3 linked regions of the Drosophila melanogaster genome follow. The gene in region 1 interacts genetically with each later gene. Each region holds a gene or a part of one and is shown on either strand. Other genes may lie near its edges.

Region 1 (5,305 bases):
TCTGGGTTTACAAAGTTCAATCCAGGAGTGCGAAGAAAGCGCGCCAAAAACTCACCATGCCAAAAGTACGCGTAAAGTAGGCGTTGCAATTTTTCCGGAACTAGCAACCGGAAGCCGGAAACGGGCCCAAAAACAAACGGTGCTTATCTTGTTGAGCGATCGTCGCACTGCTCCGTTCTCATTAATATCCAACACACACTTTCCACATCAATTCTAACATTCATAAAAAACTAAAACTGCGCCTGAAACGCTCTGAAATCAGCTAGCAACTACTGTACCAATCGGGTCTTGCATCGTATCCACCGATACCTTCGTCGGGACGAACCTTTGGTGCACCTGTCATCGATAGTAATTACGTCCCGATTCGAAGCGAGATAGCGATATTCCTGCAACCGTTCTTAACCCATTTCATCCAAAAGATCCCCGATCCGATTCATATTCGTATTCTTATAAACATTGGAAATCCTCTTCTATTGATTCGAGAAAAAGTAAGAGCTCTTATTTTAAAGTGATTTTTATTAAAGAAGTCAACAATGAAGAATTTATTTCGTACTACATACTAACATAATCGCTATCAGAACCGATTAAGCAGCGACTTCCAGAATAAACGTGCTGGCAGTAAGGTGTCGCGGCCTACGCAGCTCTTGTGGGTTAGCCTATAAGATGGGAAAATTATTATATTATTATGGGGATTGATAAAAAGAAGGGTCCGCTCCATGAATACTGAACAACCAACAAACTATAGCTAGGTTTTGAAATAAAGAAGTCTCAATAAAGGCAAATCGTACTTATAACTGGATAAAAATAACATCTTAACTACAAAAAGAAGCTGGTTCTCTCCTGTGTTTGTCGTAATATAAAACAAAGCAATATAAAACAAAGGAACTCACAGGAAGTTGGCACGGCGGAGGCGCTCCAAATATGCATCCGTGGCCACGGCGGAGAGGAAGATCTTGCGCACCTGCGGCGGCACCTTATCGTGCAGCTGCCTGGCGAGCTTTAGGTGCGTATTGGCGGCACTGGCCACATCGAATATACAGTCCTCGACACCCTTGTCGTCGCTCTTAGAGCGAATGATGCGCTCCTGGCTGACGCCATGCAGCACCAGCACCTCGAGCGGAATGCAGGGCGCCTGCTGACGTCCTGCCAGCGGTATCGATCGCAGCAGGGTGGCGATGCCTTGGGCCTTGCCCAAGTGGGAGGCGGCATGATCAGCATTTAGGTCACGCACTCCGCCCACCTCCAACAGCAGGAGCAATAGCGAAGAGAAGGTCTGTTCCGTGTACTCCTCCAGCTCGCGTATCGACTCAAATGCATGCGTGGGCGGACGTTCCCGTGCTGTGACCAGACGGCGCAAATATACCTTATTTAGCTTGCGACTGCCCACCGTGTGCTTCAGTTCGCGCAGGACAGGCTGGTCCTCCACGTACGATCTTTGGGAATCCGGCTCAAAGCACTTGTCTATGGAGTCGTGCCAGAACTTAAGGCGCATTTTGGCTATTTGCGGCTCAATTTGCTGCAAGGATATTTGTCATTATATAAACGATTTTACTGGACAGAAATAAGAAGTTTAAAAACTACGAAGTGTTGCTTATTCTACGAATTTCTCTATCCGTTTTAAAGGAAGGAGAGAAATTATACTCTTGCAGTGTACATAAGAAATTAAGAGATTTGTGAAACCGTTCGAAATGGTAATAATATTCATGAGATGCGGACATAAGCCACTTATGCTTACAATAATATTGATGCGGAGTAACAGAGTCTGAACGGAGTCTGAATTTAAGGCGCCACGTTATTCTAACTTAAAAAATAAGCCCCAAGGAATTTCGATGCTCCACTCACATGGCCGCTAACCGATCTGGAGACCTCCACATTGAATGCCCGTAGGGCGAAGGCAGCACGTCGCAGTTCCCGTGGTAGGAGCAAGGTGCACAGGTAGTTCTCGTAGTCGTATTTCCTGGTTATCCGGAATAGATCCATGTTCAATTATACGGATAACTTCAATCGACAAGTTTGCGCTACTTACTCCACTAGACTCATGCAATGTTTGGCCCCGTATCCATTCTTGTCCGCCTCAATCACTTTCTTTTCCCTGGGAATCGCATTGGTCTTGGCCTCCTGGTGAATTCCGGCATGGCTGACAATTTCTTGGCCGGATTTGGCGTTAAATAACAATCGGCAATTCCAATTTCGCACCAGGCGCCGCATCTGTGCTTCTTCTTTCCACCAGACAACTGAACATATGTTCTGAGCGGTGCTGCCAGATCGCACTCGGTCTGTCAGAAAGTTACTACATATGGGGTATTCGCGATTACGCGGAAATTTCATTTGGCGGAAGATTCAAAATGCTGTATGTGACTTGTTGGTAAATTTATAATGCATTATTATAGCTTAGCTTAGGTAGTTTACCATATAAAGCTTAGCTTAGGTATATAAATACATTATCTTCCGTAAATATTGCTTTTTTGCCATGCGTAATCTTCTTGACTTCTTTTCTTTTTGCTGTGAGGCCATTTTTAGACAAGTTATAGCCAAAAAAGCCAACTTGAAAATTGAGTTTTTTGCCAAAAGTAGTTTCCAGATTTTTTGTGAAAAAAATATTCGGTATTTTGATCAAAACATTGAAAATAATGACTCAAATATGGAATGTCATACCTCGTTGAGTTTGTTTTTTAAATCCCAATCGATTTGCATTCAAGTTTGGGAATTCTAGAATTTTTCATTTTTTTGCAAATTTTGATGATGGTACGTACCCCTTACAAAAAATGCGAAAATTTGTCCAAAAATTAATTTTACAAAATCAATTAAAAAGTTAAAGGGATGGTTAGTGTTGATCATAAGGAGTATAAAATGGTAATTCTTTTTGCTGTGAGTCCATTTTTAGTCAAGTTATAGCCACAAAAGCGAACTTAAACATTGAGTTTTTTGCCAAAAATAGTTTCCCAGTTTTCTGTGAAGAAAATAATCGGTATTTTGATCAAAACATTAAAAATAATGACTCAAATATGGAATGTCATACCTCGTTGAGTTTGTTTTTTAAATCCCAATCGATTTGCATTCAAGTTTGGGAATTCTAGGATTTTTCATTTTTTTGCAAATTTTGATGATGGTACCCCTTACAAAAAATGTGAAAATTTGGCCAAAAATTAATTTTACAAAATCCGTTTTAAAGTGATAGGGGTTGTTAGTATTGGTCATAAGGAGTATAAAATGGTAATTCTTTTTGCTCTGTGACCATTTTTAGACAAGTTATAGCCAAAAAAGCCAACTTGAAAATTGAGTTTTTTGCCAAAAGTAGTTTCCAGATTTTTTGTGAAAAAAATATTCGGTATTTTGATCAAAACATTGAAAATAATGACTCAAATATGGAATGTCATACCTCGTTGAGTTTGTTTTTTAAATCCCAATCGATTTGCATTCAAGTTTGGGAATTCTAGAATTTTTCATTTTTTTGCAAATTTTGATGATGGTACCCCTTACAAAAAATGCGAAAATTTGTCCAAAAATTAATTTTACAAAATCCGTTTTAAAGTGATAGGGGTTGTTAGTATTGGTCATAAGGAGTATAAAATGGTAATTATTTTTGCTCTGTGACCATTTTTAGACAAGTTATAGCCAAAAGAGCCAACTTGAAAATTGAGTTTTTTGCCAAAAGTAGTTCCCAGATTTTTTGTGAAAAAAATATTCGGTATTTTGATCAAAACATTGAAAATAATGACTCAAATATGGAATGTCATACCTCGTTGAGTTTGTTTTTTAAATCCCAATCGATTTGCATTCAAGTTTGGGAATTCTAGGATTTTTCATTTTTTTGCAAATTTTGATGATGTTACCCCTTACAAAAAATGTGAAAATTTGGCCAAAAATTAATTTTACAAAATCCGTTTTAAAGTGATAGGGGTTGTTAGTATTGGTCATAAGGAGTATAAAATGGTAATTCTTTTTGCTCTGTGACCATTTTTAGACAAGTTATAGCCAAAAAAGCCAACTTGAAAATTGAGTTTTTTGCCAAAAGTAGTTTCCAGATTTTTTGTGAAAAAAATATTCGGTATTTTGATCAAAACATTGAAAATAATGACTCAAATATGGAAAGTCATACCTCGTTGAGTTTGTTTTTTAAATCCCAATCGATTTGCATTCAAGTTTGGGAATTCTAGAATTTTTCATTTTTTTGCAAATTTTGATGATGGTACCCCTTACAAAAAATGCGAAAATTTGTCCAAAAATTAATTTTACAAAATCCGTTTTAAAGTGATAGGGGTTGTTAGTATTGGTCATAAGGAGTATAAAATGGTAATTATTTTTGCTCTGTGACCATTTTTAGACAAGTTATAGCCAAAAGAGCCAACTTGAAAATTGAGTTTTTTGCCAAAAGTAGTTCCCAGATTTTTTGTGAAAAAAATATTCGGTATTTTGATCAAAACATTGAAAATAATGACTCAAATATGGAATGTCATACCTCGTTGAGTTTGTTTTTTAAATCCCAATCGATTTGCATTCAAGTTTGGGAATTCTAGGATTTTTCATTTTTTTGCAAATTTTGATGATGTTACCCCTTACAAAAAATGTGAAAATTTGGCCAAAAATTAATTTTACAAAATCCGTTTTAAAGTGATAGGGGTTGTTAGTATTGGTCATAAGGAGTATAAAATGGTAATTCTTTTTGCTCTGTGACCATTTTTAGACAAGTTATAGCCAAAAAAGCCAACTTGAAAATTGAGTTTTTTGCCAAAAGTAGTTTCCAGATTTTTTGTGAAAAAAATATTCGGTATTTTGATCAAAACATTGAAAATAATGACTCAAATATGGAATGTCATACATCGTTGAGTTTGTTTTTTAAATTCCAATCGATTTGCATTCAAGTTTGGGAATTCTAGGATTTTTCATTTTTTTGCAAATTTTGATGATGGTACCCCTTACAAAAAATGCGAAAATTTTGGCCAAAAATTAATTTTACAAAATCAATTGAAAAGTGAAAGGGGTGGTTAATTATTGAAAATAGAAATAGAGAAATTGTTGCAAAAATAAGTCAAAAGCATCTGAAAGTACGATTCATTGTAAGTTCGGATATTAAAAAGTTTATTGTTTGTATGATTGTATGTATGTATTGTATTGCATTGTATGTATGATTGCATATTTTGAATTTTCTCAATTAATCAAAATCATTATGACTAAAACATAGCTTTAATATAAACGGTAAACAAAAACCTATCTATTTTAATTGCCGCATCACAGAGGTGAGTTGGATTATTTATTGGAGCATTTTGGTTAAGCAGCTCAGCCGCAGCATCCTCCGGCATTGCAG
Region 2 (5,079 bases), on another chromosome or scaffold:
ATCGTTGTACCATAAAATTTCCCCAATGGACGCTCGGAGTTTTCGCTCTGCAAGGACCCAACGTCCTGCCTTTTCGCTGTTTAATTTTACAATTGTCCTTTTTCTTTATTCCTGTCCAGGGAGCGAGATGAGTTGGTGGGCCAGGTTTATCTATGCGCATCCGTTCCAAGTGCGGTTTTGTGATTTATGCTCGTTTCTGTGGGCCAACATTTGTTTTGCTCACCTAGGCCGAGCAAATAGGGCAGTTTTGTTGGTGGTAAATGTGGTTCACGTAGAATCACTATAATTTATATAAGTTAAGCTTTTAAAAACGAGTTCCCAGAATGGGTTAATTTCCTTAATCCGAAGTCAAAATCAATTCGATATGCTAATTGCGACCTACAAGTTACACTTTTATTTTAAAACAAAGCTTATACTTTTCAGGTATCATAAGGACACGACTCCTGCGGAACTTTGCTCATGTCACCTATAACAAGGCCGGCACTTTTTCCAAAGTACTGAGCCATATGAATAACCTGAGTACTGGGCAATCGTTTTCGGGTCTGGATGACAGCCCAATCTATGGGATCAATGGAATCGTATTAGGGGAAAGTATTTATTATTCACAGCACTGCACTCACGAAAGCTGAATATTTTGCTGGCATCAAAGCACATAAATCGAATGGCGAAGTTCACATAATCGGTATCCAGAACGTACATGAGAACGCCCTCAGGAAATGCTGCAATAAAATACGTTAATAACTCGCTTTAATTGGTTTAACTAATTCCACCATAATTTACCCGTACTTGTTGTGCCCAAAACATACCGCCCAAATTCTGGCTCCACGTTCAGTATGTCTGCCTTTCTCATCTTTACAGTACCAGTTCTGTAAATATGGCTTATAGAGTTGTTTCAAAATATTTAAAATCACTCACTGGGTGTTCAGTTCCCGGGCCACAACGCTGAATTTATTCTCTTCCTTCTCTATGAAATCCGTCGACTGACATTTCTCCACTCGCAACGAGAGATGAGGATATATCGAGTGGGTGTACCACTTTCCTTTGAATCGGTCCATGTCCAAATCCCCAACAGCCGTCATATTGGAGGGACAGGCTCCGTGAAAGGCCCGCATGGCCATGGAGGATTGAAGATATAGGATTGCAGGGCTTTCGAAGAATTATGTAGGGTATTCAATATTCATATAGCTGATATTCAGAGGCTGCACTCACACGAAGATCTTCCACTTGATCATGCTGGAACGGTTTGAGTAAAACTGCAAACTGAATCATTTAGTCTGGTTTATTTGAATCCACTGGATACGGTTTAATGAAAAATAATCAAGATTTTGCGGAGCACAAGAGTTTCGCACAGCGTTTAAAACAAAAGCGGAACCGTTCCATTGAGTCACTTGATCGTGTACATCTCTCAGTTGTATAAAGTCTTTACATGATCGGTTTTCTATTTATTTATTCCTCGCAATAACAACAAACTTAAATTGAAGCACCAAAGAACATTTAGCATCTGAAATACGACCTCTGTGATAACATGACACTTAGTAACTTAGGAAGTTCATAAAAATGTCGTAGAGACGCTCGTAGAGGCGTCGGAGCCATTCTCATGCCTTTTCAATGGCATTTGGCACCGTGGTAGACACGAAGTCATCCACATCGAGGCCATCCTCTCCGGCCAGCCCAGTGCCATTACCATCCAACCGGGGACAGTTCTTCTGAACAGTATCGATGAGGAAGGCCTGGGATACATCGTTGTCTTCCAAGATCTTTCTGGCCGCATCAACCGCTTCCGCTGAAGGTTCACGCTGACGAGTCAAGATCCAAACAATTTCTGCAATTAAAATTATAATTATCATTCTGGCGTAAGTGCTTGTCACTCCATTTTAGTTTAGTGACACAGTTCGCATATGAATATGCTGACAAGCTGACTAGACACCCCATTAACTCACTGAAATTGGCCAAAGGTGTTACACTGGTGCAGCTGTAGACGACGGCGTATGACTCGTAATCTGTGCCCAAAACCAGGTAGTTGGCCTTCGTCAATGGCTCTAAAATGTATTGGATAAGCAAAAAAATGTTTGTTAAAGAGACCACCTAAAATTGGCATTACTCACGCGTCGGGTAAAAGGCCACGGCCAATTGACCGGGTCCAAGGACCTTGGCCTGTCCAGTTACATTCGAGGGTTGTCCGGTGCTTTTTCATCGATTTTTTGATTAAATGGAGTGTTTCAGATTATACTACTTGATACTCACAATCGATTGATGGCCGCATTCACCACCGAAACAGTGCTGTTGTCTATGAGACTGTAGTTGGCGTAGATGCACTTCTTGCCGATCTCGAAAGCAAATGGATAGGCTGCGTACTCGTACCAGACGCCCATATACTGAAGTATTCGAAATAATAATAGTAATAAATACAATGTAAGAATATTACGTTTAAGCAGATGGTCATATAATAAGTAATACAAACTACAGCACGAAGTGTTTACTTGTTATTTAAAACTGTGGAAATAATTATAGCTACATTAGATAAGTAAGGTCCGATAATTAAAAAAATACCAAATACAAATATTTACCTAGAAAGCTGTAAGAACAGTGCACTTTATTAATATGAAAGCAATTTGCTTATCTTATCATTATAGTTTTCGCTATCTATCAATTTTGCAAAACTAACGAAATTTTAAATTTGAAGATCGAATTTCCCCAATTGGTAAACCATGTGAAGTTTTACTAATATCGCTTAATTCGATATATACCCTTATATTTAAATTTTAGTTCATAACTATTGAGACTTTGAAGTGCCTTTATTGGCATGTTCGCTTGCAACTGATCGTTTAGACTTTCCTATTCTAAATCTATCAGAATGACATGATTAACATGCGATGCGAGATGGTTGGCCTAAGGTCAGAACTCACCGCTTCCGCGTCGAAGGTGTCCAGTAGCTTAACATCTGGGCACTTGCCAGGAAATGGCACCTGGGCATGGGCCACCCATACTGCCCCAAATACCACGGAGATAAGCAGCAACAGGTGCGAACTGTGGGGATGATTAATGAAATGTAAATAACTTGGAGCTAGTGCTCAGCGAGTGGCGCTTACCTCGAGTGATGATTCATTCTGGAATATACTGGGAGATACGGTCGCTATCCACTGAACTTGGTATCCGTTCTACTTCTGGCTTAGAACTGAGGTTCGACTGCATCTGCATTGTATCTTTTATACGCTGGATGCGAGAGCTTTGCTTTTCGCGAGCGAGCTTTTCGAGTGCGCCGAATCGGATTGCCCATGTGAACAAAGTGAAATGCAGACGATCTGATTGCAGAATCAGAACATATTGCTCTTGTTACAATCGCTAGGAGGCAGCTATGGAAAACAATCCCAATACAACTCACTTAATTTCTGTATGCACATCGCGATAATTCGCTTTCGATAAGGGCTTCCGCATGCAAAGCGGAACAATTTGCACTGCAATTACGGGGGTCAATTAATTAAGAGAGATCGCAACTTAGTAGGTTCAATGCCCTGATATGGCAAAGTGAAATTGAATAGTGAGTAAGCAGAAATGAATTATTCAGTTCGCAAATCAGAATGACTATTTCAGTTATTGCATACGTATTAATCAGACACCTTTAATTTAAGTTACATCTTAACCATTTATATAATTATTTATATTAATACCTTTGCATATTCAATTACTTCCAAGTATTACAAGTTTTATGACACTATAATAAAAATGTATTTCTGCTACACTGATTTTACTAAAATATTTTAAATTTGGTACCACTGCAATATTTAAATAAATAAATGGTATTTCTTAGCATCCACCCACAGGAGAGCTTTTCCCTTCATGTGGATTCCGTTTGTGGCGCCATCTCTTCGCACTTCTGCCAGCGCCATCTGTTGAGCGCTTTGCCGGCGTTGCTCGATATAACTACAAATGTTCGCATATTTTGAGGTTCCTTCAGCTCGTATCCTTCTTCAGCTCGTTCTCGGACTGGTCAGATGAATTGTTGACAGTGGCGAGATTTCTGCGGTTTTTCTCTTTGCAGCTGGGAAGGAAGAGAATTTAATTTCCCCATATATTATTAAATTAATTAAATGTAAACCACAAATTGAGTTACATGTGCAAAAATGCCCGCAGGACGAACGCTGAAGCGTCTGTGTGCACGAAGGGGTTTTTAGGGGCAGGGAGAGGCATTTCAGGTGATATATGTTTCGACAGGAGTGGATTGGTAAGTAAGGAAGGCGTCATTAGTTGTAAAGAAATCATATGGCCCATGATCAAAAAATATCCTGTAATGAAAACAAAACAAACGATACATCAAATCCTTTTCTTGGTCCTTTTTCTTCTTATTATATGACAAATGGCTTCGATCCACCCTCGCATGGTGCACTCATATTTTTATCCATGTGCGGCTAGCGCAGATTTTGAATGGCCAGCCAACTATTCGGGCAAGGGAGTTCATAGCGCATTGCCCCACCGAAAGGATTGTGCTTGCCCCATTTGGATGGATGGATGGATGTCCTGGCTCGGATTTGCTGTGGCTGCCACTGTTTGCTGCATGCAGCGTGTAGTAATTAAATTTAAAATATGTACGCATTTGCCGGACATCTGAGCTTAAAAACAGGTGCAATCCTTGAGGGCTGCCGGCGGAGTGGGGTTTCAGGGATAATTTGATCAAAGGAAATCGTAAGCCTGCAGCTGGGAGAGGACAGATGAGAGCTGGTTATTACAGGGCATAAGTGCAGTTTTCGGAAGGTGCAGCCATGGGCGTATGCCAATAGTAGTACAGCGGGGTTAAGCATCTTCAGCTAGCTACCTTTAATGTCATGAAATTGTGCTTAAATAAACTTTCAGGTCAATGTTTAATATTTCCCCAGCTTGGTCCCCATTGTAACCTGTCACTGTGGTGCATTTGTGCGGTTTATGGTGCATTGACAATTGGAGATGAGTGCGTGAACACAAATATGCCTTTCAATTACTATAGGGTAATATACTTTACTAAAGTCTCCATAATACCAAAAAAACGTAGAGCTAAGCATCAAAACACAATATTCGAAACGAACTTGGATAAGAGTGAACGTATCT
Region 3 (5,914 bases), 7.4 Mb from region 1:
ATGTATGTATGTATTATTGCACATATTAATTCCGTCATAATTGCAGGGAATCGCTCTCGATTTGTTTGTCCATTTATCTCCGGCTGGAGCATTGTAATTGCTTTGGCCAACAGAGTGGCAATTGCCAATCGGAACAGCGAAACGCGAGTGGAGTGCCCGCCAAACCGCAAACACCTGTTGGTGCAAAAGTTGGCAGAACACGGCGAGAAAACAGGGGGCCACTTCTCCTGCTATGGAATAATAATTTATTTATGTATCTACCCAAGAACCGATGGACTGTTGATGTATCGTTTATATTATTTAATAATGCCGAATAAATTATTAAAAACAAAAACTAGCAATGCTATATTCCATTGGCCATCACACTTTCTCCAAGTGCAAGGTTAAGGTGACAGGGGCGATAGGTTGCCGCCGGAACAAACGACTTACTTGTGTCGTCGTATCTAAGGAGTTTTCATGTGGGGAGAACTAGTGGGAGTTGGGTGAGAGAGCGCGGGCGAGCCAGAAAGAGAGAGAGAGAGTGGGCAGAGTGCACAGTGGAGCAATGCGGTGAAACCGAAATAGAACCGTGAGTCAGATTAATTAATTCGCTGTGCACTTGGTAACTTATTGATGGGACCGCAAGGATTGACAAATGAAGGATGGCTGGCTCATTACTAATTGATAAATGATCGAAAGCTTGGATTTTCTTTTCTTTAAATTGATGGGGATTAAGGTAAATGGTTTACATAATTACTTTATTGCCGTCGTAAAAATGAGAAATAGGATATACGGAATCCTTAAAATATTACAGGAAGGGATAAAATCGTAATTGTTCTTTTTTTTTACGAGCGACCAAACGATCGTTAATTGTGGTTAACCCTAGAAAACCTCTTAGGGGTTGCTACGAGTGAGGACTCAATACTTAATCTAGCCCAACCAAATTTTGCTACACAGTTAACTTTGGTTAATCATGAGTTCATTAATGTTTTTATGTTTTAAAGGACCTAAATATGCAATAGATATCAGGTATGAATTATAAATTCATTTGCATATGTTTGTGCATACATTTTTATTTTTTTGTATTCATCAGCACCGAAGTTCAAAATTGTTCTCTGTGTATGGGTATTTGTCTACCAACCAATTAGTGGCTACTGTCTACCTGGCCTGCGACCTTTGAACTTGCTGTGTGGCCGGCAAGTGGCAACAGTTGGTCGGCCATAGAGCGGCTCTATAAAGATCTATTTTCCCCTTACTCTCTGTCTCTCTCTCTCTCTCTGTCTGTTTGTAGCTCTCTCTTTTTTCCCATAAGATGATTTCTGAACGCAGATAATTATTCTTATTCTTATTATATTTTTGTATTAATTTGAGCCAATAATTTTGCCTTTTTCCAAAATTAGTTAAGCATAATAATTTCTATTATATTTCTTATTAATTTAGAAACGTGTTCAGCTCAAAGCTAAACAAAAACATGTCAAAAGAAACGGAATTTTTGTTCAGTGCAATAAGATCTCTGAGCGGATCTATTCAACAGTCCAAGTTCTACGTCGTCATCATGATGGTGTAAACACATTTGCCAAATCACATCACAGCCCACTGTTGAGCCGGTCTTGTGAGAGTGCGATAGAGAGGGGTCGCCCAGGCCAAGACAGAGAGACAGAGAAAGAGACAGGTGGAGAGAGAGGGAAGGCTATTGCCCGGCAACTGCTAATTGGGATGGCTAAATGCTGCATTGCATCCTCTGCCGCGATTCCTGCTGCACTTACGGTGCATCGTCGTCTATCCTGGCGCTGCCCACGCACGAAGAGAGAAGTTCACACTCTTCCCGCCTTCCGCCGGCGGTACAGAGCAAAAAAAAATTTTATTAATTTCGGTTAATTACAAATTTGTACCAGGGACTTAAGCTAACGAATTTCAGAACCGAAACATTCATAAGCTTATGCTTAACAACGTAATTATATAAAATAAATAAAATTGGGAATTTGCTAGCATGCCAAGCATGTGATGTGTAATGTGATCCTTGGTCAAGAGATTTACATTCTCTCTTGCTTGCCCAATGCAAATTTCTCTCAGTGTACGGGCCAGCTCTCTCCGACCATCTCGCTCTCGTTCCGCCGTTTTGCTTTGCCAGTGACTTTGCTTTGCTTTGGCGTAGAGAATGCTATAAAGCAGACCGCAGCAGTGGAATAGCAGCAAGTCGACTGCTGGCCGCGTAACAGTAAACACACCAACGAGCGGACGTACACGGAGCGAAAGAAGAAGTTGGCTACCACGAAAGAGTTATTGTTTGTTAGAAACACCAAGCGCAGCAGCAGCAGCAGCAGTACAAATATTATTGTGTGCCGTCCGAAGAGAACAGCTGAGCCACACGCTGTTTTTTAACGCTGTTCCGTTCTGCGGCACTTGCTGTTTGTTATCCGTATCCGTCGTGTTTCGTCGTCGTATTTGAACTCTCTTTTTGTTACTGTGCATATATTTTTGAAATCTCTGTGCTGCACACAGCGCAGGGGGAAAAGTGCTAGAATTAGCAGATCATCAAGACATCTGGCTAACCTGTGATTTCCAACACACCCGAAGGCAAATTGGCAACAAGTTACCACCGTAAGTCTCGTGTCGATCAACAAGTGAAGATGTTAGTTAAGTGTGGCAAAAGAACTGAACAAGAATTTATTGCATTTGCAAATATACATATGTACTATACCGATAGGAACGCGTTTTAAGAAAGTAATCATGCTTTTAATTTACGTGATGTGTGACTGTTATTTGTGATTCAATATAAGAAGATTAAGAAGATTAATAAGATTTTGTGAAATTTTCAAACTATGCCCAAGACAAATGTAGCCCACTGTTTTGGGGGTAGGGGATTTTCAGAAGCTTTGCTTTTGAGCATAAACCGTAATTAGAAGGCATTAAAAACGTGTGATTTGGAAATTCGTGAATTAAACCTTATAGGATTTCTCTCTCTCTCTCTCTCTGTGAGAGAGTGTGAGAACCCAAATTGAGTTTAAGAATTAGCTGAAGTTTCCATAATAACCACTGGCCAAGTGATTAGTTCACATGGTGGGTGGAATCCGTCTAGTCCAAACCATAATCCCCTGCCCAGTCTGATCTGATCCCGGAACCAAATTGAGTTTTGCCAAAGGTTTCAGCATTTTTCATGTGCATTTTTTTTTCATCTAACCATCGACGGGGAGCAGAAAATGTTTACCAAATTGAATTACACATTTTTATGATGTGCTGGTGCCTTGCTCTTCCCCCTTCCTCAAAGCCACCGCCACCCCGCCGCCTGACAGGCCTCAGGTGCTGTCCTGAATCTGGAAATCCGTGTGTCCGGGTGCCGAAGCCGGAATGGAAGGAGTCCACGTTTTCGAGAGCGGGAATGCATTTATGGCGCCGCCATTAGGGTGGACCAGTAAATTAGGTTAATTGTAGAAAGTAATCGAAAGCTTTAACAGCACCAAATTGCATATTCTGAATCAAGGAGACTGTATTTTTCCCACACTGCAAGTCACATTTCAATATGTAAGTGCTGCATTGAATATGTACATGTTCAACTTATAAATGTGTATTCTATATATATATATATATAGGCACATAATCTATAATCTGTTTTGTAATCACTACTGCTTTTTGCAACTTTATGGTAAAAAATACTTTGTAAATCCTTTGGTGTGCACCAAAATGAGCATGAATGCATAAGCAAACATAAGCGCTTAATTATGAAAACATACCGATTTAACTAGAGTCCTGGATTATAATTGACCGATTATTTGATTAAAAGGCATCCGAGGCATTCAAGAGCAACCAAATATTGTTGGCCGTTGATAACCATTGCTGGTTGCCAAGGTTTCCATAGTATTTGCAATCGGCTCAGAAGTGAAATGCTCTGTCTGAAATTCCGACTTAACTCCCCACCAGATAACCTGTTGCATTTCGCAATGGGGTAAACAATGGAATCACCTGTGCGCCCCCACATTTTGGCCTTCATATGGAAGCACATTCGTGCGCATTCATCTGGAAAATTGATGGTAAATTTCGCATTTAGTTTGATTCTCAATTGAATCAACAGTTCTAAGCCTACTGCTTACGTGTTTGTGCGATGATGATGATGATGTATAATGGTCTATCCACCTTTCGCAAATTTGCAATGGACAAGGAGGCGGTGCAAAGGTCTGTACATAAGTCCAGAATCTCAAGGGGTGATAAGCCTAAAAAAAAGGCAGACTGTTATATGTCAGATACTCGTAGATAGTTAGAGGGGTTTTTCAATGAAAAACTTAGAAGTGTTATTTTGCCTTCTGACACTTCACAATGAATATTCAGAAAAAAAAAAATGGGGAATTAACAAAGCAATATGATTATGATATGATATTATATCAATAGTTTTATTTATCAACATTCAGGTGTGCACTAATTTCTTGCCGCCAAAAACAAAGCCAATCAATAATTTATGTAGATAAGCATTTTGCTTATAACCATGCATTTTCATTATTGAATTGTCATTTTTTATCTTAGTTGAACCCAACTCCGCCTCCTCCGCGTAGATCGTGTGTCAGCCACTTGTCTTGTTTGACAGCACACCCAAGTGGCATTAGCATTTGGGGACTGAAACTGGAACCATTGGCCAGTTTGCCCAAGAGAATTTCTGGGATTGGTTTTGGGTTTCTCCAGTGCACCGCAGTGCACTCCTCTCGGGCCACCACTTCAGTTCACGGAAGGCACCACTTGGTGGGAGTCGGCTTGAAGTACGTGAGTTTATTTGGCTGAGCACAAAAATCAGAGACTCGAACAACACACAAGATCGAAAACAAAAAACAAAATTAAACAAAAAATATAATAAAATAAAAGAAGTGAAGTGAAGAGCAGGGTCGAGAGGAGAGGAGGGGAGAAGTGCCTAGAAATGGTCTGAAATGTGCATTAAACGCTTTGCATAGGAAAGCGACATGGACATGGTATGGGGATTGCGCCGGAGATTGACATTCCCATTCCCATTCCCGTTCGTATTCCTATTCCATTGGGCTACCCACTCCTATTTCCATTTCCCATTCCCTAACCCAAATCCCTACTATACCATTTTCACTTCGAGAATCGCAGAGAACACACAAAACACACATGTGAGAATGTGCCGGGTGTTGGGATTATTTTGTGGCCGGGTGAGGGGCCTTCAGGCCTTCAGGCCTTCGGGCAATAACAATCATTCGAAATGCGCCTTAAAATAGCAAACACCAAACACGTTGCTCATAATCTCCGATGCAATTGAGTGCTGGCAGCCAGCACATGAATGATAACTTTGTCCAGGCCCGCTGGAGTATTAATAGCCATTTCTAGTCCCTATTGAAAGCGAGCATGACGCCCGCTGCCATGCCAACCAGCATCCCCATTGAGCTCCTAACCATGGCCGACCAACCAACATCGTCCGAACCTGCAGAACAAAGCCGAAAAAACGTCTCTAAGCCACAGTCCAACTTCAGTTTTGGTTGTCGCCACCAGGTGTCAATGCTTTAAATTATGTTTTACATTTCCACCAAAAAACACATCATCAGCCAACCAACAACACCATCATTTGCACTTGTTGTTGGCTAATTAGCGGCGAGAAGTTTTTTCTAACACAGCAAAGCCCATCCATTCACCCAACCGTTTGTTCGAGTTAGCGAAGTTCAACTGTATGGCTTGGTGCCCGAAATTTTTGCCCACTCCTGGGATTTGGTCTTATGCATTTTGCAATTTGTTTTCCACCACGAAAGTAGCAGGCGCCAAAAACTCTGGGTTCGGAATAAAGGCCATAGATTCCGTGAAACCAAGGGGGTCTTCTTTATTAGAGTTTACGATTCGATGCGTTTATATTACCGAAATAAACCCTAATTGGACACATTGATGCTGCAAAACGCAACACACATTTGTGCTTTTGACTTTCCTCCTCCCATCGACGTTGATC

Evidence for each region. Genes that interact genetically often act in the same process or in processes that back each other up.
Region 2: of sicily (region 1) and NLaz, changing one suppresses a phenotype caused by changing the other (phenotypic suppression), as found in Drosophila melanogaster (one study listed by BioGRID).
Region 3: of sicily (region 1) and out, changing one suppresses a phenotype caused by changing the other (phenotypic suppression), as found in Drosophila melanogaster (one study listed by BioGRID).

Annotation. Positions count from the first base shown.
Region 1 is NC_004354.4:11,888,941-11,894,245, reverse strand, and holds sicily (severe impairment of CI with lengthened youth), read right to left. Parts: upstream 2,515-5,305; 5' UTR 2,209-2,514; coding exon 2,027-2,208; intron 1,958-2,026; coding exon 1,843-1,957; intron 1,517-1,842; coding exon 891-1,516; intron 657-890; coding exon 575-656; 3' UTR 501-574; downstream 1-500. Other genes in the region: CG1840 (uncharacterized protein), read right to left, coding at 5,278-5,305. UniProt on the Drosophila melanogaster protein: Involved in the assembly of mitochondrial NADH:ubiquinone oxidoreductase complex (Complex I) at early stages. Interacts with cytosolic Hsp90 to chaperone the Complex I subunit ND-42 in the cytoplasm.
Region 2 is NT_033779.5:1,358,552-1,363,630, forward strand, and holds NLaz (neural lazarillo), read right to left. Parts: upstream 3,271-5,079; 5' UTR 3,107-3,270; coding exon 3,090-3,106; intron 3,028-3,089; coding exon 2,907-3,027; intron 2,376-2,906; coding exon 2,245-2,375; intron 2,186-2,244; coding exon 2,106-2,185; intron 2,040-2,105; coding exon 1,941-2,039; intron 1,823-1,940; coding exon 1,596-1,822; coding exon of another isoform or gene 1,533-1,595; 3' UTR 1,286-1,532; downstream 1-1,285. Other genes in the region: CG31659 (uncharacterized protein), read right to left, coding at 420-559, 621-719, 781-866, 916-1,146, 1,210-1,232.
Region 3 is NC_004354.4:19,318,322-19,324,235, reverse strand, and holds the start of out (outsiders), read left to right. Parts: upstream 1-2,129; 5' UTR 2,130-2,580; intron 2,581-5,914.